Linked DNA regions of Oreochromis niloticus. The protein of the gene in region 1 purifies or fractionates together with the protein of each later gene. This does not show direct contact. Links are inferred from orthologs where the notes say so. Each region holds a gene or a part of one and is shown on either strand. Other genes may lie near its edges.

Evidence for each region. Proteins that work in one complex are often made in the same cells at the same time.
Region 2: the proteins of ubiquitin thioesterase OTUB1 (region 1) and slc7a11 purify together in Homo sapiens (affinity purification with western blotting; 5 studies listed by BioGRID, with this or other methods). This does not show direct contact. The link is inferred for Oreochromis niloticus from reciprocal best matches to the Homo sapiens genes OTUB1 and SLC7A11.

The regions. Positions count from the first base shown.
Region 1 is NC_031967.2:5,951,398-5,962,465, forward strand, and holds ubiquitin thioesterase OTUB1, read right to left. Parts: upstream 5,576-11,068; 5' UTR 5,429-5,575; coding exon 5,347-5,428; intron 3,439-5,346; coding exon 3,377-3,438; intron 3,007-3,376; coding exon 2,908-3,006; intron 2,781-2,907; coding exon 2,662-2,780; intron 2,483-2,661; coding exon 2,398-2,482; intron 2,033-2,397; coding exon 1,838-2,032; intron 1,648-1,837; coding exon 1,450-1,647; 3' UTR 1,049-1,449; downstream 1-1,048. Other genes in the region: citrate synthase-lysine N-methyltransferase CSKMT, mitochondrial, read right to left, coding at 454-532; nectin4a (nectin-4), read right to left, coding at 9,643-10,032, 10,170-10,358. UniProt on the Homo sapiens protein: Hydrolase that can specifically remove 'Lys-48'-linked conjugated ubiquitin from proteins and plays an important regulatory role at the level of protein turnover by preventing degradation.
Region 2 is NC_031966.2:1,399,503-1,410,303, forward strand, and holds the start of slc7a11 (cystine/glutamate transporter), read right to left. Parts: upstream 4,410-10,801; 5' UTR 4,034-4,409; coding exon 3,778-4,033; intron 1-3,777. UniProt on the Homo sapiens protein: Heterodimer with SLC3A2, that functions as an antiporter by mediating the exchange of extracellular anionic L-cystine and intracellular L-glutamate across the cellular plasma membrane.

The DNA.
Region 1 (11,068 bases):
GGCAGCTCTACGCTTCCGTAGTTTGGTTCAGCTTTTCGGAAGCTGCAGTTTATGGTGTTGTACTGACAGGTGTTTGACTAAGTGTTGCCCACCCTAACTATAACCGTGAGCGAAGGTCTGCACAAAGCAACACACCACTGTTTAGAAGACACACTGCGGCTACGATTAGAGACTTAAAGCACATCTTTCTACACAGCTACGATGACCTTTAATAGGGTTTAATGTGTAAACTAGAAACCGACTGTACTATAGAGGGCTTCCTCGTGGTACAACTGCTTTTTTCAGTGAATACGTCACTAGCTTGCACCCACCGTTACACCAAAGTCCTTCATCTCCGTGAATGGCTAACCTGTTGTAGCTAGTTAGCTTATCAGTCGGCAGTCATGTGTAGCATTAAATATCATGAAAAATATACATATTTTTTATTACAAAAATATGACGTTTTGTACATACCAGTTAGAGAAGAATGATACCGTAAATAAGCGCCAAAAACTCTTCTGCCTGACAAAAATGACTTTAAAAACGGAGACATCTTGCCTTAGTTTCACTCCAACCTTTGTCGTAAGTTCTCACTTTGGTATTTTTTCTTAGTACCAAGAGGACTCTCCGTCCATAAAATGCTAGAGCAAAGTATTTGCTACGCTATAGACGATCTTTGACTCGGTTATGCTGCAGTGACGGAACTGCGCATGTGTGTGAGTGCAAGTGTAAACAATATACACCCACTTAACCATCCTGCCAAAAAGCAGCTGTCCGTGTAAATCACTGACATCCGTATATTGAAAACTATAGATCAAACTGTTTTTAGGAAACCAGCAACATTTTAACATGTATGTTTTCTCTCGTAGTTCATATACAATTTATTACTGTATAGTCCCATCGTCTTCTTTCCCCTCTCCCTCTAATTTGACCTGCAGGAATAGTGCAATAATGCTCTCAATTAAAGTATAGTTATATCAGGTTCCATCAGTGTGCAGTGATGACTAAGAACGTTATTGTCAACTTTCAATATTTAACTGAAAAACAAAAATCATACTGACACAAGAAATAAGATGTAAATTGCTTTAATAAAACTCAATGAAACGCAGTGTAACAAAGGAAAAGAAACAAACAAAGCAAGTAGATAACATTTACAACCACAAAAGAAAAAAAAACCCTGTACAACTCTAAATGGTTGGAGTCACTTCTATATTTCCAAAGATTTTTTTTTTTTTTATTTCATCATTTTGTTATGACTGAAGGTAAATTTGGGGGTTTGGGGCGAGAAGGGCAAAGGAGGCAAGTAATGTGATTTTCTCTCTCTTTTTCTTTTTTTCTTTTTTCCAAATACACAAGTGTAATCTTATACACAGATGTATGTTTCATCAGCATGGCTGCTGGTAGCATTTTCTGAATGCGCTGCTGCGGCACACAGCAGGAGATGCATGAGATGGGCCGTGGCCAGGAGTGCTATTTGTACAAGATGTCGTAATGGCCAGGTCTATAGAGGAGGAAGATGCGGGGGTCTCCGCCTTCGGGAAAGACGTGGTGATTGACTGTTCCTCCCTCTCCTCTATCCATGTACTCCACCAGAATGGATACGTCCAAGGCCTGAGCTAAGGCGATGATGTGAATGTGGTCACTTTCTTTAGACATTGGCTCTACCTCCTTGGAAAAAGAGAAAGAAAAAAAAAAGCACATTAGGTTTGAGTTTCAGACAATAAAACATCTTCATTATACCAGAATGGCAAACACTGTACTCTTTACACAACGTCGGTCATAACAATTCAACAGTTATGTACATTATATTTAAATTTAAAAACAGGAAAATGGTTATCTATGTAGGGAAAACCTTCACCTGCTGGCAGAACTCCTTGACAGTGCGCCCACCCTCTATGAAATGCTGAAAGAAGGTATGCTCTCGCTGCAAGTAGCCTGAGGTGAGCAACCGCAGGTACACCACCACATAGTCTGATACGTTCTGGTCGTTGAAGGAGCTCAGCACCTCCTGCAGCCTCGGCTGTTTCTCACACAGTTCAATCAAGTCCATGAACTAGCAGGAAAAACAATATTTACATATTTAGACTCATGTACTCGGGCTTCAGCTTGCCAACTTTCTATTTAACTGGCCAAAACAAATTTGGCTGCATGTTCCATTTCACTGAACACATCATGTGCTCTGGCAGATGACCATCTAAAATTGGCTAGTCAGTAAGGATCGTCATCTGCACCTTATCCAACATAACAAATGATATGCTGTCAGTCAGGTTGAGGGTTTTACACCTCTTTTTTTAAGCTTTTTTACAGTAACAATGCAAAAAAGCAGAAAATAAAACAAATGTATCTAACTAGATGACATGCATTTGCTATTACAGCAACTTCAGCAAAATAGTCATTTAGGTTTGCCAGAATACTCACAGTATTGTGAAAATCTTCAATAGTAAACTCAGTGAAACCTTCGTTAACCAGATCCAGTTTACTTTTAGCTGCAACTGCTTTGAACCTGAAGAGACAAAATGTGTATTTAAAGGTAAACATTGTAAATATTAAAGCCACCTATGTGCTTATCTGAATTTTAAAATATTGAAAACAGAACACAGTGTACTGCTCACACACATTCACACATTGAGTATAGACACCAACAGCCAGCAGAGCACACACAGTAACCACTCTGGCACTCACTTCTGAAGTTCTTTGCTGTCATCTAGCAGGGACTCGAGATGTGCAAAGCCAAAGGCTCTGTAGAAACAGTTTCCATCTGGTCGCGTCTTGCGAATGTACGAGTATTTTTTGTGCAGGTCCTGTAATAACAATAATTTTAAAAAATCTTTAAGATCAGATCCAAAACTGTTATTGCAAATTTAAACAGAGAAACTTTGGATTGACACGTGGCTGCAGTAACCTGAGAGGTGCTGCGCTCTGACTGACCTTGATCTTGAGCTGATAAACCGTGTCATCCTCAGCGTACTCGCTCTGCAGCACCGACAGGTCCTGTCTGTCTGACACTAAAGGGTTACTGGTGGCTATCTGCACAACCACACACACAAAACTGCAAATTAGTCACTGCAATCCATCTCCATACTTGTTTTTAGACTTTTTATTACACAGTACATCTGTGATTATGCATTAGTAACATTTCTTTTATTATAAGCTCACAGCTGTGCACATAAACCCTGTTACAGGTAAAGGTCAATGTAATTACTGCAAAGATAGATTCTCAAAGACATGCATCTCATTTGTTTTCAGTGTGCAAATTATGCTTTTATAGCCCTGTCCACATGTGATCTGAGATTTCTGAAGTTGCTCATCCGGATCCCCAGAATAACGCCAAGCTATCTTTATTTCTTTTTGCTGCCCAAACTAAACTTGACCTTTAAGATAAAAAGAGCTTCCTTACCTCCTGCTGAATCCGGTCCTGTTGAGCAATTATGGCCTCATCATATGCTAGGCAGTTCACTCCTGTAAGACAAGGGTGACAAATTCAAGAGGCTTCAGGAGTAGAGTAGTACTTAAATGACATACTGGCTGAAACAGAGGATAGTGAAGCTGTGGCATTGGGATTTTAACTGCACATCAGATTAGAAGCACTATTTGAAATCGCAGTGTTCCAGTGATGCAAAGTGTGTACTTTAGATTTACATTACCATAAATATAGTAGCATTTATGGTACTATAAACTGACAACAGCACTGTAACAGTTCTGAAACTGAGACCAAAACTGCACTACAAACATCTGCAGTATCAAAGCAGAACTCCATCTTCCCAAACTGTATGGAGGTGCTAATGTTTCGTTAAAGGATGCTAGTCTGAGGAAAACTGCTTAGGTTAACTTTTTTAGTAGAGTGCGATCCTAATGTGATCTACTGCACAGATGTGTGGTTTGAAAAAAATGAAAAAATAGAAAAACATTATGAACTGAAAGCTAAAACACAGTTTCAGCTTTTAGTGTTTCAGACAGTTAGGATACAAGCATTTGCTACTAGGGAAACAACTGTTGCACCAATTCAATATTTGGATTGGATATCGATCCGATACCAACTGTGAAAACTGGACCAGCTATCAGTGATAACGAGCCAGCCCATTCGATTCATTTCTGTGTTGCTCTGTGTTTACTTTGCCACGTGTATCCTAGGGCTGTTTTCTTTTATTTCACTAATAAATATCAACATTTGTATAGAATTATATTTATTTGTTCCTTTTCAGTTTTCAAAGTTAGGAAAATGTTTTAAGTTAAGTCTCGTATTTCCTGACACATATAAGAATACTTTCTAGTCTCTTGCTCACAGCGTTATAGATTATTAATTTAAAACCAGTATCTTATCTCTAGTCAGTATTAGCAGACACCCAAGCTGTATTGGATGGGAATCAGAACAAGCTGATTTGGCCCATCTCTGACTGCATTCACTTTTACATTTGGTGCGTTTACGCAGGTGTGACCTAGTGACACTGGCAGTGTACCTGCATTGCACCTGCAATGCTGTGTGACAATGTAATACCCAAACAAGCCAGGAATTAAAACTGAACTAACTCGATATTACTTGGTTTTACTAGGAAATTAAAAAGTGCCTAGCTTGTATTTAACAATCACAATTAAATGCGACTGCATTATCTTGGCTGTAAAAATAAATAAATAAACTCGATCACCCGTAATACATTGTAGGTTAAGATGCCAGTTTCTTAATAAAAGTAACGGCGCCAGGTGCTGCATGTCGTTTTGGTTTAAATGTCCTTTTTCACAAAGCCCTTTTAACGCGGTGTTTTCCTTCTCAGTGGCGAAACCACTGAATTCGTTTTAATGCCAGACAGCTGCATGTAAACAAAATGTAATAAAATGTGGAATAAATCAATTGACAAAGACACACTCCCCCCTTCCGTTTTCATCACCTGCTGACACCAATAAGCAAACAAGAGCGCATTTAGCCCTTGGTCAGCATTTAACATCAAAACAAGTTAACCTACAAGCTAACGTCAGTCAGCTAAACTTGGCTAGCGCGACTTGTGCGAAAACAAAACAAATTCTAGCCACGACGCAGTTTTATAAACTAAAAACACGACGCCTTTTCTTTAATAATAAGTACACATTTTAAGCATTTCCAAAAGTCAAAACCTCTGGGACTGTCACTCACTGCTGCCTTGACATTAACTAAACAAGCTTTTTTTTTCTTTGTGTAGCATTGGCAGCTAGCTAACGTTAGCCCAGAAGCTCTGGCCTCTGTGTGCCCCTCACCGCTGCACATCAGCCAGATTCAGCACGGAGGAGGCAACGGCTGAAACGCTTTACAGATGTTCGTGTGGATAAGAGTTTCGTTTAGAAGAGAAATGGCAGCGCACTTTGCTTGATATTTGTTGGTGTAACTGTTTCTCTCACCCTCCATCTCTCCCTGTGATGACTCTTGCTGCTCCTCCGCCATCTTAGCTGTCGAGATCGGTTTCCTCCCTCCGCATGACATCACTCGTCGCACACTTCCGAGCGCAGACCACCGGTAAACTTACTTTATTTACTTATTTATTTATTTATTTATTCATTCATTCATTCATTCATTTATTTAGTTTGTGGTCAACCTTTTCGCATGAATAATGACTTTGTTAACAAAGCTAAAGCGTCATACGAGGCTTCCAGTACATTCCATTGGCTGATGTTTTACCAGAAAATAATGCATTTATTTACATAATTACAGTATTATGTCATATTTAATATACATTTATTTCTTTATTATATCATAACTTTAACTAAGATTAATTGATAAAGAAATAAATATTTGGTAGTGTTGTCAAAGGGTTCGTGTTGTTGCTGGGATATAAAAAGCCCTCCTCAGCATTATAACAGGTTGCTTTTCTGAGGGTCAAACAGGATTATGAGGCAGGTGAAGTGTGCAGTCCTTCCACAAAACCATGGACCCTCACAGAACTGCACAGTCACTGGTTTGGGGTAATTTGTTTAATTGCAAACATGGTAAAAGTTATGCACTAATTAAGCAAATCCCTGCTTAAGTTAGTTCTAATTGGCTGGCTTTTATTTATCAAGTTAGTGGCTATTCTTCAATAACTGTGATGAAGGTAAAAATCCAACAAACAATTAGTTTTGTACATTCAGCCCACTGTGATTTTGAGTTGGCTGGACCGGATGAAGGCCCTTTCCTGTCAGTATAAAGGTGTTCAACTGCACATTTGAGCTTAGTATTAGAAAAAGCAGAGCAATTTCAACAACATATCTAAATATAAATATCATATAAATGTAAGAAATCTCTTACATCTCTCTTTGGGCATACATTTTAAGAAATAAATGTGTAAAATTACATTTCTAAAAAATCTGGTCACTCATTCCCCAGACTGTCCTGTTATTACAAAACAAAGTTTTTCTTAATTCACAGGAAACATCCTGTTTTTTTAATGTATTTATTTATCGTTTTTGTTTTGTTATTATGGATGTAAAAAAGAGAAATTTTGATAGTATCAGAATCAGTAGTTAAAAAAATAACAGAAAGGGTCCTGTCATCTAATTGTTTATCTATTAGTTTGATGCATGAATTTCCATAAGGGAGGGGAAAACATTAAGATGCATCAAAAAATTAAAGTCCAAAATTTATGCCCTCCATTATATTTATCATAGCTGTCCAGTGGTCCGAACTGGAGTCTTTACCAGACCAATTTATGTTTGACACCCTTGCCCTGCAGTACTCTTAAGAAAACCCTGACAATCAAACAAGCGCATATGAGTAAGCACTCTGTGACAGTGGGGAGGAAAAACATCCTTTAAACAGGAACAAAGTAGGGCAGAACCGGCCTTGGGGAAGGCTGCCACTCCTCCTGCTGTGCCTGTGGTTTGAGGACTCTGACAGTTAGCATGACTCAAGGGGTGCTGATTCATTTAAACATATTCATCCTGTTGCAACCAAGATGACTACATTAACTCTGATGAAGCAATGGGATATATGGATGATGCACAGTGATAGAAACCATTGGATAGGAACTAAAAAGTATAGCAAATTATTCAGTGGCCAATACGTTTCTTTAAGGTTTAGTTTGCTATGATGACTACAACACAAGAGCAAAAACTGAAAAGAAATTCTCACAGTATGACATAACCTGTGGATGAATGTAGTGTACAGTAGTGCGAAGGCTGTCGGTATCCCAACATCCACAATTTGAGCACCGCAGCCGTCACTGAGGAGCAATGAAGGTTTCTTCAAGTGACAAAACCCATTTGATGTGATGATGAAGCTCCTATTACAAGGAAGGCCTCTGGAAAAGGAGACCAAAAGTTCCAGGAGCTGCAGTGAAAAGGTTAATTAGCCTCCTAACTCTGCAATTAACAGTACCTCGGATTGGATGCCACTTTAGTGTTTACCACAAGTCAAGTGAAAGACATGTCCTAACATCAGCTGTTACAGACGAGGCTTTTATTCTTTAAACACTGCAAAGAAACCACTACTGAGTGAGAGCACTGAGACTGAAGAGGCAAGAATTGGCGTTATACATTTGTGATTTCAGCTATGAGGGCAGATGGGTTTAAATACCTGTGATAAACCAACAGCATCAGACAGTGCACATAGGCAGAAAAAAAAAAGTGAAGGTCTACAAGATGGTAGTGAGACCTGCTGTGATGTATGGTTTGGAGATGAAGTCAGAAGGTGGAGGTTGCAAAGATGTTCTTTGGGAGCAAGACCAAAGAGGAGGATTATGGATGAAGTAAAGGAGGACATGCAGATGGTTGGTAGAGACAGACTGGAGCAGCTGAAAGAAGAAGAAGACTACAAAATGTAATAGTTTCAGTGCATTCGGTTTTTTCTACAATATAAAAAATAGTTTAAAAAATGAATGTACAGGGGTAACTAAAGTGCTGTACACCTGCACCTTTAGAAAAACCACATACATTTATTTCAACCCATCAGTACTAGCTGATAACCATCCAGAGCTCTCTGCAAATAACTAGAAATCCAGGCAAATGTCCAAGAAGATCATCTGGATCACAATGGAAGGCAGTTTTTCATAGTTGGTTAGTTCTGCAGTTTGTTGCCTCAGTCAGGCCCCTGCACTTTCCAGCAGTATACACCAGGGGGCGCTGTCTGCAAATGCAACCTGCATTCAGACATTATGGCTTCTCATTTGTTAGGTGCTGCCGGATAATAGTCACACATCACTTTGAGTTTGCCACAAACTGTCCCAGCACACTTTTTACACAACTAAAGCAACATCAGACAAGTGTATCGGAAAAAAGTCGTATTTACAGCAGATAACATAACAAAAAGGAAACAATACAATTGTACAATACAATGTATGTAACAAACAATATAATACTTCATATTTGCCAGAATAGCAAACCTGTTATTTTTTTTCATGTTTCCCCTTTGGCACATTTTTCCCAATACTCATAACAGATATTAAAAAAAAAAAGTACACAGATAAAAAATACATGTTTGGCTTTTATGCTGCAATCAAAGGCTGTAACATGTCCCTGTTAAACTCCTTTTGGAAAGACACGGTCCTCTTTTGGAGGAAACGTTCCAAACTGTACAGAAATTCCATGTGTGGCGACCTTTTTTATTCATTTCTACGATCTGCTTCGTGAGAATCCAGGCATACTTACAGAATCTGATCAATTCTAACTATGTTTTCCAAATGTTTGGCAGCTTTTCCAGATTCCATTGATGTTGACATTCATACTGTGTGTGTAAACATCGACAGATCAAACATAAATGCACTCTAATGTATTAAGTGTGCATGTTTCATATATGCTTTGTCATCTCTAGTCTTATATATGTGTACATCAATATGCTTGTAGCACACATGTACTACGTGTATGTGGAAGAATCTGAGTGAGGAGGCCACTGAGGCAGAGGGATGTATGACCTGACAGCACATTTTATTTGTTGTTGTTACCATGCTGTGTCTTTGTTACTTCAGATTTAAGTATTACAGCTCTATTTCAAAGGTGTTTGTGGGGTTTTTTTGTTTGGTTTTTTTGTTCTTTGTTTTTTTTTAAGAAAAGGGAGCTCACTCGTGTATTTGTACAGATTTACAGATCACTACATGTAAGGGACATTAATCTTGTTTTGGCATTAAGGTTTCATCTGATCCAAACTGTCTCAGTGCCTACGGCGGCAGGACAGTAAGACAATATGAAGGTATGCGGGTTGAAGGTGTGGCCAGAGATGAACAAGCCAAAAAAATCTGGATCAGGTCCCAACCAATGTTGTGTAAGAGAATGTGACACAGGCAGTTACTCTTACACTCACCACAACCAAATCAGAAGTCCACCCTCAACACCGAGCTGTTGCAATCTCCTTTTTAGATTTGCCGACTTTCCCACAGCCTTGTTTACTCCTCCTGTATTTCCTGGTTTTTCCCACAGCAAGTGCTTTCAATATCCCCTCATAAGCTCTGGCAGCTGGATTCACCTGTCAGCTGCAGCTGGTTAGAGCAACAGCTGTATTGTGAAAGCTCAGAAAGGAATATCGTCGGTGATGATGCTGAAGTAGCTGCACTGGAAAATGTGTGATATTGTCTTTAGTTTCCAGTAGCTCTGCAAACATCTGGGGAATACGCCACTGATCCCCCAAACAGCAGGCAGCAATAAGAAATGCCCTAAAGATGCTTTGGAGTCAACCGCATCCACAAAAGCGGTGCAGTTCTGTAATTTCACGTGTTATTTTCTCACCAGCTGTTAAACTATTTGGGCCTTGTGGATTATAGAGGTGTGGGGATTGACCGGATGGGGGCTTGGGATCCTTTTGTATTTTAACAGGCCATTACTAAGCTGGCAGGGCAGACTGTGACCCTCAGACACCTGAGAGCTGTTCGTCTCGCTGTCTTGATCAAAAGGTTGCTCCTGACTGGCAGGACCGCCCAGCCCTTCATCCACTTCATCATCGTCGTCCCTTATGGGTGGGCAGGTGCTGCTCACGGGAGGGTGTTGGTGATTCTTGGTGATGCTTCCCAGTCGCAACCCCACATCCGGTGGGACAATGGGGCTGCCGTTCATCGACCTCAGAAAGTCGGGCGTTTGCATCCTCTGAGGCAATTGCGTGAGAGGAGGGTGGTAGTGAGTTTCTGGCTACAAGGACACAGAGCAGACACAGATTTTGATTGCATCATCATCAGGTTAACTATGCAGTGGTTAGTAATATGGAGCCGAGGCATTCCACAGTTTGGCGAACTCAAGCCTTGACACGCACACTAAGACACACTTACCAAAGATAAAGAGCTGTTTTTCACATATCTCTCCACTCTGAGTCGGCTTTCCTCGTCTCTGTCCAGAGGCCTTTCTCTCCCCCTCCGGGAGTTGTTGTATATGGCTGGTCTGCCCAGAGAGTCATACGCAATTCCTCCTCCCCGACTGCCTGAGATAGTAGATCGGCTATCACGGCACTGAGGCTGCTCCTGTTTATGGCATGGAAACGAAACACTAGTAACTATTACTAGACACACTGATGAAGTGCATAGATTGTAACAATTCTATGCTCAAAACAACAGAATTGCTACAAACATTCTCCCCAAATTCACGTAAAAAACACATTATTTAAAGCATTATAGTTACATTATTTACTTACATGTATATTTTAAAAAGTAGTTTTAAAACAATAGTTTAGCATTAACTGGGGAAAAATAAATTAACTTTTAATGAAAAATAGTCTGTTATTTATTTGCATTTAATTAGTCACAGTTTTCAAGAAATTCGAAGGAAAGTATTGGATAATATATTAGATAAAATAAGAGATTTAATTTTGGGCCCCAAACTTCACTCCAGGTCCTGATTGAATCAGGCCTGACATACAATTAGGCAATAAAAGCTTTACAAAGTAGCTTTTTGGGCCTAAATGTTTTTTCAGTGTATTGAAAATGACTAAGATGTGGCTGTAAAAGACAAAAAATTGGGAATAGCCACATGCAAAATGTTACTTTTCTCAGTAAGCTGCATTTGATGACACTAAAGATGAAATTAAATGGGTTTTTTTTGTTGTTTTGGGAAATATGCTACAGCGTATTCTTCCTGAAACATAGCAGCGTGCCACTCCCATGTCTTCATGCTAATTACAGGAGCTACAACCAGCAGTAATTTAGCTCAGGAAACAGAGCATTATTAAACCAGT
Region 2 (10,801 bases), on another chromosome or scaffold:
TCAGGCCTGCAGGTATCAGGCTGTTGTTCTCCTTTATTTCATAGGGGACAGAAATTATTTTTTGGAGTGGCACAAATAATTTGTGTGGCATCAAATTTAATGCAGAACACCTGATTGTTCTGTAAATAATTTGAAATGTTTGTTTAAAAGCGCATTGGCTGCATTAAAAAAAAAAAATAGTAGCTGCAAAAAACATTGCAGCTACTCTATATATATATATATATATAAAAAAAGTTAAAAAGTTCAAGTTATTTTTACTTCCAATAGTGTTAACATACTGCACAGGTCAATGACTAGATTTTTTTACATTTTCATTGTAAGTGGGCTAAAGCAGTTAATTAAAAGTAGTCTAACATAAATGTAAATGCTGTAATTTGATTATTTTAATAAACCATGTAACTTGGATGGATTCGATGCTGGCGTGACCACAGTGCACACGTCTGATGTCGCTCATAGTGGTCCAGGGGATCGATCAGGGAGTTTGTGTGTTCGCTCAGACATATGAAAAATTAGAGGGAACATTGCATGTTAGTCAAATGGTTGTTTGCCAAAAGTATCACCGTATCATATCACAGGGTGGCTGTGGCTCAGGTGGTAGAGCAGATCAGTTACTGATCGGAAGGTTGGTGGTTCGATCCTAAGCTTCCCCAGTCTGCATGTCAAGTGTCCTTGGGCAAGATACTAACCCCAAATTGCCCTCCGATGCATTCATCGGAGTGTGAATGTAGTTATAGTTTGCACTTGTGTTTAGAAGTGCTTGCATGAATGGGTGAATGAGGCATGTTGTATGCAGTGCTTTGAGTACTCCGGGAGAGTAGAAAAGCGCTATATAAGAATCAGTCCATTTACCATCATAGGTACTCATGTATCTAGTGTTTCTTTTAGGTTTGTTATTTTTCAAATTCTATATTTATTAAGTTTTGCAGGCTTGTTTGCACAACAAGGCTAAATAATTATATAAACTTTTCTGAATCTAAATAGTGTACTTTGGTAGAATTAAAAAATAAGTGTAGTGCAGGTCTATGATGATTTTTAGTGCTACTATCATCTAGTTTTGATTCTGGTTCTGTCTTGGTTAAGTCCTAAGTAGTCCTGATTTTAAACTGTTGTAGTCCTGTTTTAATTCTGGATCAGTTCTGGGTCTGGTTGAATTGAGGTTTAGTCCCTGTGTCTTGATACAGCCCTGACTTTGTTCTGCCTTGCTTAATTAATTTTAAAAAACTAGTTTAAGGTGTCCTGCATATGTGATATTTATTTTTTTCCTATATGAAGTCATTCTTTATTGAACAAAACTCAAAACAGAGCCTAATAAATCTTTCAGTCATTTCTGTGTGGTAACGACTGTGTTTGTCAACAAGACAACGCTACAGAACACAATGCCTGCCGGACAAAGGACTTCTTCCAGGAGAATAACATCACTATTCTGGACCATCCTGCCTGTTCTCCTGATCTAAATCAAACTGAAAACTTTTGGGGATGGATGGCAAGGGAAGTTTACAAAAATGGACAACAGCTTCAGACAGTAGATGCCCTTCGTGTGGTGGTCTTCACCACTTGGAGAAAAGTTCCCACTCACTTCATGGAAGCACTTGCATCAAGGATGCTGCAACGAATTTTTGAATTGATCAACAATACCGGTGGAGCTGCTCATTACTGAGTCACGTTTGGAACTTTGAGTTCTGTTTTGAGGGGTTTACAGGTGCTTTTGGAGGTGTGGTCCTAAACTTTTGATCAGCTGTACAACAGCCTGTTGTAAAAAAATGTTTTGCCTCACTCCCATTTCTTCCTGTAGGATGTTGAAGCTCTACTTGGAACTTTGGATTTTTTAGCCAGTTCTCAAGTGGTCTTAAACTTTATTGGGACTGGATTAATCTCTGACTCTCCCCCACAGCATGACTTTGTCCTGTGTTCCTCCCCTCAACCCCAACCAGACGTACACCCCCCCGGTTCTGCCAGAGCTTTCTTCATGTTAAAAGGACGTTTTTACTTCCTGCTCGCTCAAAAGAGGTCATGCAATAGTTGTGGTGTTAATTATTACATGTCAGGATGATTGGCTAATATGTCCTGTGGTTAATGTTTAAATCAAATTTGATCTCGTAAGTTCTGGTGGTTTTAAGTTCACTGAGAGTCTGAAAAATTACATAATTCAAGTGTTATCTTTCTCAAAGAAACCAAGCAATTATGTATATTCACATATTGCACAAGGTAACAAATCCATGAGCACATCTGTCATTTTTATTCAAAGATTTGAAAATGAATTGAGAAATCATTAGTGCACAGAATTAAAGCTGCACACAATTAAAACCAATAAGTGAAGGATTACACAACAATAGAAGGTGGAGCCAGGGGAGCCCCCGGGTAGAGGTTTTGTCTGTGTTCACCCATGTCCATCTCTGTTGACCTCTGGCCTGCTTGTGCTTTAGGCAAAGACCGCAGTGGAGCTTCAGCTCTCCTTTGTTGAACTTGCACTGCTGTGGATGTTCAGTAAACGACTTGGCAACAAACTCTGCTCTTCTCCAGTGTTTTTTTTTTTTTTCAGTCTTTTTGTTCCCAATAAGACTGAATTCACTTCTGACTGGTCAGACAAGGTTCAACAATTGACTGGAGATTCTGACCTGACTAAACAGCCTGTAGGCATAGCACATCCTCTGTGTAACATGGCGGAGGCCACATTTTGGCATGGACATGCATGGCTTAACCATGCTACCAGTGAGTGCTAACAGAAACAGCACAATGAACTGAGCCATACTGCCTGCATCATTCAGACTGATGCTGCAGAAATGGTCACACAGAGCAGATGATAATGAGCCAAAGCTAACTGTAAGTCATCTGCTCACAACCCAACAGAGCAGCTGTTCAGTTAATGAAGAGAAAAGTGAAAGCACAGACCCACAGACAACAGGTGAAAATGCTGCAGTAAAGGTCCTTGGGTTTCAATACTCGAGAGAATCATTGACAACAAATGAGTTATGTTCATGTTTAAAATAAGTTTGTCCATTTAAATTTCTAGCAACTGTGCATAAATATGTCTGTAACTTCTAAACAGTCAGTGCAATGTTTTTGTTAAACCCTTCAATTAAACTGAAACTCTGTATTTCGATCACATCCTGACTGTTTGATTTGAAATCCACTGTGGCGCTGAACACAAAGCTACAAATACACATAGTTAGGTCCACATTTCTTGGAGCGAGACACAAAGTGTGAGAATATTCAGAATGAGTCGCAGCATCACACTAATCATGCAGGAAAAAGTTTTACAAGTGTTGATGCTGTGTGACAGTCTCCAGCAGTGAGTTATCAGGTCACTGTGTATGTGTAGCCATGTTTAAAGCAATGCTATGAAGCAGACTGAAGTTTGACTGAGACTTGAACATCAGACCCAAGTTAGTGAGTTCAGCCCTGATGGCTGCCATAAAACGTTACTCTGGTAAATACAGCTTATGGTTTGAAGCAGATTTCTGTGGCTGTGAGATGAGCCTTTATATTAACATCATCACTACACTTCTGATATTTACATTAGTGAACTGTAAAATAGCAGGTTTAGCACAGAAGAAGCATACTCGAGGGTTTCAGTACTGACAGTGTTTTTGGCAGTGATGGTTACATCTCTTCTTTTTTAAGCTTACTTTATACAGAAAACAAATGACGGACTTCTGTTTGTTACTTTTCTGACTTCTTTTTATGTCTATTGTTAAATCTCTACAGCCAAAAACAGATTTCTGAACCTCCACCAGTATATTACAAGAGCAGAACTTCTCTGCTGATATTCCAACTCACCAAAGAGGGACAGCACGCCACAGGCAATCCACACCAGCAGGGACACTCCCACACTGCCGGAGTGCTTCAGGATTCCCTTCGGCGAGATGAAGATCCCAGCTCCGATGATGGTCCCGATGATGATGGAGATGCCTCGGAGCAGGGTCACCTTCTTCCCCAGTTCTACCTTCCTGTCCTTCTGTTCTGTCCCGTTTGAGGAAACTTTGTGTCCATTTGCTGCAGTTTCTCTGTGAGCAGATGCAGAGCTTCCAGTCATCTCTGTACACAGTGCCTACCACGCTTCTTCTCTTTATGAATGCACTGTCTGTGACTGCAGACACCCTGTGTGGCTGAGGTTAGGTCTCTCAGTCTTTGTGACTGAAAGTTACAAAACTCTGAGTTAAGACTAAAGGCCAGGCAGGCCGCTCTCTCTCTCTCTCCTCCCACCCACCAGCCTCCACTCTGCCCTCCCTCTCTCTCATCTCTTGCACTTACGTCTCACTTTCCTGCCCGGCTGTCTACCCTTTGACATCACCAAACTTTTCTCTCCTTTCTTTCTTCTCTGCACTGCTGTCTCACCCTGAGTTTGGCTTCCTGCAGCCCCTCTTGTGTAAATCCTGGCTCACGTCAGTTAGGTGTTGCTCTGTTGGGTAATCATGACTGTTTTTCAACACAGCCTCACCCGTTTCCTGATCTCCACTCCTTATCCATTTTCTCTTTTGTCTAATTTCCTCTTGTAATATAACTTCCTCCTCTTTTTTTTAAACATGACAACGCAGGTCTGTAACCTGCCCTGCGATGATTTCAATCGAGGCGAGCAGGTAAAACCAGCTTTCCTGGGACAACAGCAACTTCAAAGAGCTATATAAACTGCTTTACTTCGAGGTGACCATGGTTCTCAGGGGAACAGAAAATAGGGAAGTGTTAGAAACCCTGTAAGGGCTGGTGAAACACTGCTTTGGTTTTTGCAAAATCAAAGTTAGCTACTGAATATGCCTGTCATTGTTTTCACTGCTAATCAAGTTATCTGGTAAGAAAACAAAGGCACAGGAATAAAAAGGCTTTCAGCATCTTTCTCTTCTCCTTTTGCTACCTTGTGAAACAATCCTGCTTCTCTGTTTCCAAGAAAATGGTCAAAACCAAAATGTTGTTTTCTCTGCCAAGCTTGAAAATTGTATTGGCTGCATGGTTCTTCTTTCTGATATCTGGTTTCATCAAGTTATCACCTATCAGGTGCTGTGAGGTCAGGAGAGAGTGCGGTTCCCCTGGCCGCCCCCGCCATCACAGCTGAGAGGTGAGAGGGGTAAAAGCTACAGGTGATTAAAAATGATCAGAGCGGTAAAACACAGTTTTTCCCCTTTCTAATAATAAAGCATTTTTATTCTTAATCAAAGATAAATCAAAATATAAGTTTGATCAATACATAAGAGAGAAATGTGTTCAAGTAGTAACAATGACTGCTCGCATTTTTGTGCGTGTACATGATCGGGAAGATAAGAACTCTGTCACCAGACCATCGTCATACATGATTTTACATGAAAGAAATTCATATGTGAATTTTATTAAATTATGCTTAACGTTGAACAGAAAATAACACGGTGTTTCATAACTGGGAATTTTACCACATCTAATAAATAAGATAATAAACCTTTTGAAAGGATTCTGATAAGAGGAGCCACTCAGAGGTCTGTGTCTGCGGTGCAAGTTGGGGCTGAAAGACACACACCAGTCTCTGAATGTCTGACTTGTAAAATGTATGATTTAATAAAAGGAAATTGCATTAAATAAACTGTGATTGACAAAAACACAGTTTTAAAAAGTAAAAGAAAGAATTCATCTGTTAAAAAAGGGATTCTGTTACAATGTCTGTGAGAATGTGTCAAAGTACAGTTAAATAAACTGAATGAAACATGAAGTGAATTCTATATGTGTATGAGTCAATGTTGAAATGTGATGGATTTTCTTTGTTGAGATTGACAAAGAAAATGAGGTGATTTTAAAGTTTAAACTTTGTGTTAAATCATGTCAGTCTGATAGTCAGAGACAGGATGGACATCAGGTGAGTAGACATTAATACAGTGATGTCCAATAAGAGAGGGGACAGAAAGGGTTCTTCTGCAAGATAAGGATCTAAGACGTCCACAGCTGAAAGTGATACCAGAACCTGTGAATCTGCAAACTGGTTGTATATTTTTGACTTTCCAGTTTAGCCGTGTGAGATGGTTAATTCGGGATACATCATACTTCCACTGGGTGATTATCATCAACTTGGAATGCAGCGTAAATACATCCTTAGGTCTGGTTGTGCTAATCCTTTCTCTAACCTGTGAGTGCAAATAGCTCTTATAGGTTACTCTAGCGCTGTAATTATGACCTTCCCTTGGGGCCTATTTTCCAGGCCACTAGAGTTAAGCCCAGACATTAGAAGTGCCACAATCATTGGAAGAGCTACCATTAACACGTGGGTCTAATAGATTTGACCTGCAAGACGATTCGGGTGTTTGCTTATCTGATCAGAGTAAGCAGGGGAGACACCTGGACGAGTAGTGGGGGAGTCCCCTCACCTAGCCCTGAATTGCTTCCTGGGTAAGACTGTTAGGATCAGAGGTAAGGAAGTTCTTATCAGAGAGCCGAAACCACACTTCCTGTATAGGACTCGGGGATGCAGATGGACACACTGGCTGCTCCTTAAATCTGTCATTTCACCGATTTATTGTCATAAACCAAGTTGTAATCTAATTATAATTAGAACTATAACTGTAACTGTAATTATAACAATTTATTGATTGAACATTCCAAAACATATACTTAGTCATTAATGAGAGATCTAATTTAAGACATAACACAGCTGCATCTCCACCCTTTTCAACTGAATGTCTGCTGTTTGAAATGCATTATTCATTAACACAATCATAATTTGCACTGGTAACTAATACGCTAAGCATACTTTGTACTTTTTTACGTAATTATTTTAGTATCAGTACATTGACCTGTAGTTAAGTGAGATTTAAATGATGAATATAACATCTACTTCTGCATTACTGCCAGTGCATATTTGAATTTAAAAATGGGCAAACCCTTTTCCAGCTTCAGCTTTCATGTAAAACAGAAAGAAACAAAGCTTTTGTTGGGTATATTTTTTACAGTTCAGAGGATTTGTTCTGTTAGTTCAGTCGTTCTCAAACTGATGCCAGAAAGAAAAGTGCGCATGCGCCAACCAGCGTGCAGCCTGTTACAGTCGCTCCTGCTTTTTCTCTTAGTTTAGCTCTGTTTTCTTACGTATTCTTTTTTTTTCTGACTTGTATTTTCATCCGTTTATCATATTTCACTCAATCATGTGGATTGAGAGAGTTTTTGTTCTTCTGGTGGCCGTGGAACTATTATCAAGGAACGGGACCGCAGCACATCTCCTACACGTACGGACTGTTTACTCCAGAGATCAGCTGATCACCCTGATGCCGGCCGGCTCGCTGGCCAGACCCGCAGAAGTACCAGCTGAAATTTGGAGAAAAACACATCGGGGATGCAGAGGTCAAGGACAGAGGAGAAGAAAGAAGGAGACGGTGAGACAGCGGAGGCTCGAAGCAAGGAGGAGGTATAAACCGTGTCTGCCGTCTATCGTAATGGGAAATGTGCGATCCTTATCGAATAAAATCGACGAGCTCTCAGCGCTGGTATGGAGTCAGAGGAAATAGAAAAGAGGGAAAAGAGTGTAGCCTGATGTGTTTCACGGAATCATGGATGCACCAGGACATTCCCGGCGAGAATGCTTCCGTGGAAGGCTTCCACACTGTTCGGGCGGACAGGGACAGCATCGCTAGCGGTAAGCGGAAAGGAGGTGGGCTTGCTGTTTTAGTTAACAACTGGTGGTGTAACCCTGCCAACATAACAATCAAAGAAAGGATTTGTTGCCCGGACATTGAACTGTGTGCTGTAGGACTCAGGCCGTATTATTTACCCAGGGAATTCTCTCATGTCATCTTGGTGGCTGTTTATGTTCCTCCCTCTGCTAACCCCACAGCTGCATGTGACACTATCCACTTGGCCATAGCCCGGTTACAGACTCAGCACCCGAGTGCCTTTATTGTGATCTCGGGTGACTTCAACCATGTATCACTGGACAATACACTACCAACATTCAGACAATATGTGGACTGTCCCACCAGGGGAGAGAAAACTTTAGACCTACTGTATGCTAATGTAAAGGATGCATACAGCTCCTCCTCCCTCCCCCCACTTGGAAGGTCAGATCATAACCTGATTCACCTAACCCCACGCTATGTGCCAATTGTGAGGAGGGAACCTGTGACCACGAGGAGCATTAGGAGGTGGTCAGAGGAGGTCTTAGCGGAACTACAGGGCTGTTTCGAGGTGACCGACTGGGAAACACTCTGTGAGCCTCACACCGAGCACATCAATGGGCTTACTGAGTGTACTACATGTACTACATATACAGACTACATAACTTTCTGCACCGACTCCATTGTTCCAGCTCAGACTGTTCATTGTTACCCAAATAACAAGCCGTGGGTGACTAAGGACATCAAAGCCCTCCTCAACGACAAGAAGAGGGCTTTCAGAGGGGGCAATAAAGAGGAGGTGAGGAAGGTCCAGGTGTTACTAAAGGACAAGATCAGAGTGGAAACTCCAGCAGAAGAGCATGAGAGAGGTGTAGAGGGGCATGAAGACTATCACTGGATTCAGGACAACCAACAGCAGGGGAGCTGAGGGAGGTGAGGATAGAGCTAACGAGTTGAATCTGTTTTTCAATAGATTCGACACCACAGTGTCTGCTCACACCCCCACAACCTCACCTGTAGTCAGCCTGGAACCCAGAACCACACCACTGTGCCAGCCTCTCTCTTCACATGGTGCTGTTGCCTCCTCTGAGATTCCTGACACCCCTCCCCCACCCATCACCTTCACTCAATACCAGGTTCAGATGCAAATGAGGAGACTTCACTCAGGTAATCAGCAACACAGGGGCACAACAGGGGACTGTCCTCTCCCCCTTCCTCTTCACCCTCTACACCACAGACTTCAGCCACTGCACAGAGACCTGCCATCTTCAGAAGTTTCCTGATGACTCCGCGGTGGTTGGATGCATCAGCAGGGATGATGAGACAGAGTACCGGGCTGTGGTCGACTCCTTTGTCACGTGGTGTTAGCAGAATCATCTGCAGCTCAACGTGGCAAAGACCAAGGAATTGATACTGGACTTCAGGAAGACCAGGAAACACTTGACCCCTGTTTCAATCCAGGGGGGCAGTGTTGACATTGTGGAGGACTATAAATACCTTGGAGTACACACTGACAATAAACTGGACTGGGCTAAAAACACCACAGCACTTTACAGAAAGGGCCAGAGTTGTCTCTATTTTTTGAGGCGACTGAGGTCCTTCAACATCTGCCAGAAAATGCTCAGGATTTTCTATGAGTCTGTTGTTGCCAGCGTGATCCTCTATGCTGTTGCATGCTGGGGGAGCAGGCTGAGGGTCGCAGATGCCAACAGACTTGATAAACTGATCCGTAAGGCCAGTAATGTTGTGGGGATGGAGCTGGACCCCCTCAAGGTGGTGTCGGAGAGGCGGATGTTGTCCAAGATAAAGACAATATTGGATAACACCTCCCACCCACTCCATGACATGCTGGTCAGTCACAGGAACACGTTCAGTGACAGACTGAGATTACCAAAAAGCACCGCTGAACGACACAGGAAATCATTCCTGCCTGTGGCCATCTCTCTGTACAACTCCTCCACTTTACACACTGTTTACTGCAACAGCTACACCCTTTTTGCACATGTTCTTTTCAGCTATTTATTAATGAGTGACTTTTATGTATATATATGCCTGTATATATTGTGCTATTCTTAGTTAGTGTATTGTCTGTCTTTGTTAATGTTTGTTTATAATGGAGCACTGTAACAAAAATAATTTCCCCTAGGGATCAATAAAGTATTCTGATTCTGATTCTGAAAAGGTTCAGTCAGCTGTGGACAAGTCCAAACACGACAGTCTACCAAAATTTAACCTGCCACTAAGTCACCAGAGAACCTCAAGAAAAAGAAGTCCTTCATTTATTGTCATTCATTATATTGTCACAGTCTTTATTTCGAGTCGTTTGTATGGTTAATAGCAGTGCCTGTCACTGGAAAGCCCACTTTTAGCTATTTACTGGCTGTCATTTGAGGAAGTGTCATCATTAGATGGCACAATGTCGGATTTTGTTTTTTTGGGTGGGGACGTCTCCTGTGGTTTTGCCTGAAAGCCTTTGTCAGCAGTGTGTCACAAAGCACCAAGAAAAGCCTTTTTCAAATGATTATACTCAGGCATTTTGGGGTAGGTTTTTTTCATGACACATTTTGGCCAAAAAAAAAAAAATCGGAGACCAGCTATTACTGATGAATTCACAGAAGTACAGAAAGTTAAGAAAAAGAGGCGACAACCTAGTGGGCCTCTTATGCTGACACGGTTTGAGTCTGCTGTACAAAAGTACAAAAATGCTCATTATCCTCTTATCAAACATTGCTGTTCTCAGAGCAATGATTTTAAGCCAGCAAAAAGCAACTTCATCAAAACATTAACTGAGGAAAAATCATGTTTTACTCTCAAAAAATCAAAACAAATGCAAACTGTTCTAGCAGCACATAGACCATATCTAATCCTATTTTTCTGTAATTTGTCACCTCTGTAGCAACACATGTACAAAATAGCCAAATGAAACAGCTCTAACATTGTAAGTCATCCCTCAGATTCAGTGAGTCGGCGGTCACATAACTTTTGAACATACTTGTCACTATGACTAAGCTTCATTCATGAGTGTGTCTCCCTGCCAAGAGGCTGGGTGTGGGCACACTGTGGCACAGCAGATTTATCTCTCACTGACAAAGATGATATAATGAAATGTACTGTAAACAATAAAGAAAATGTACAGGCCCATATTGTGGATCAGATAAACTGGTGTTTGATAATACAAACCATTGCAAATGAACGCTTAATGTGGAATCTTGTAGCGTCTTATTGAAACTGTATTTAGTATTTGC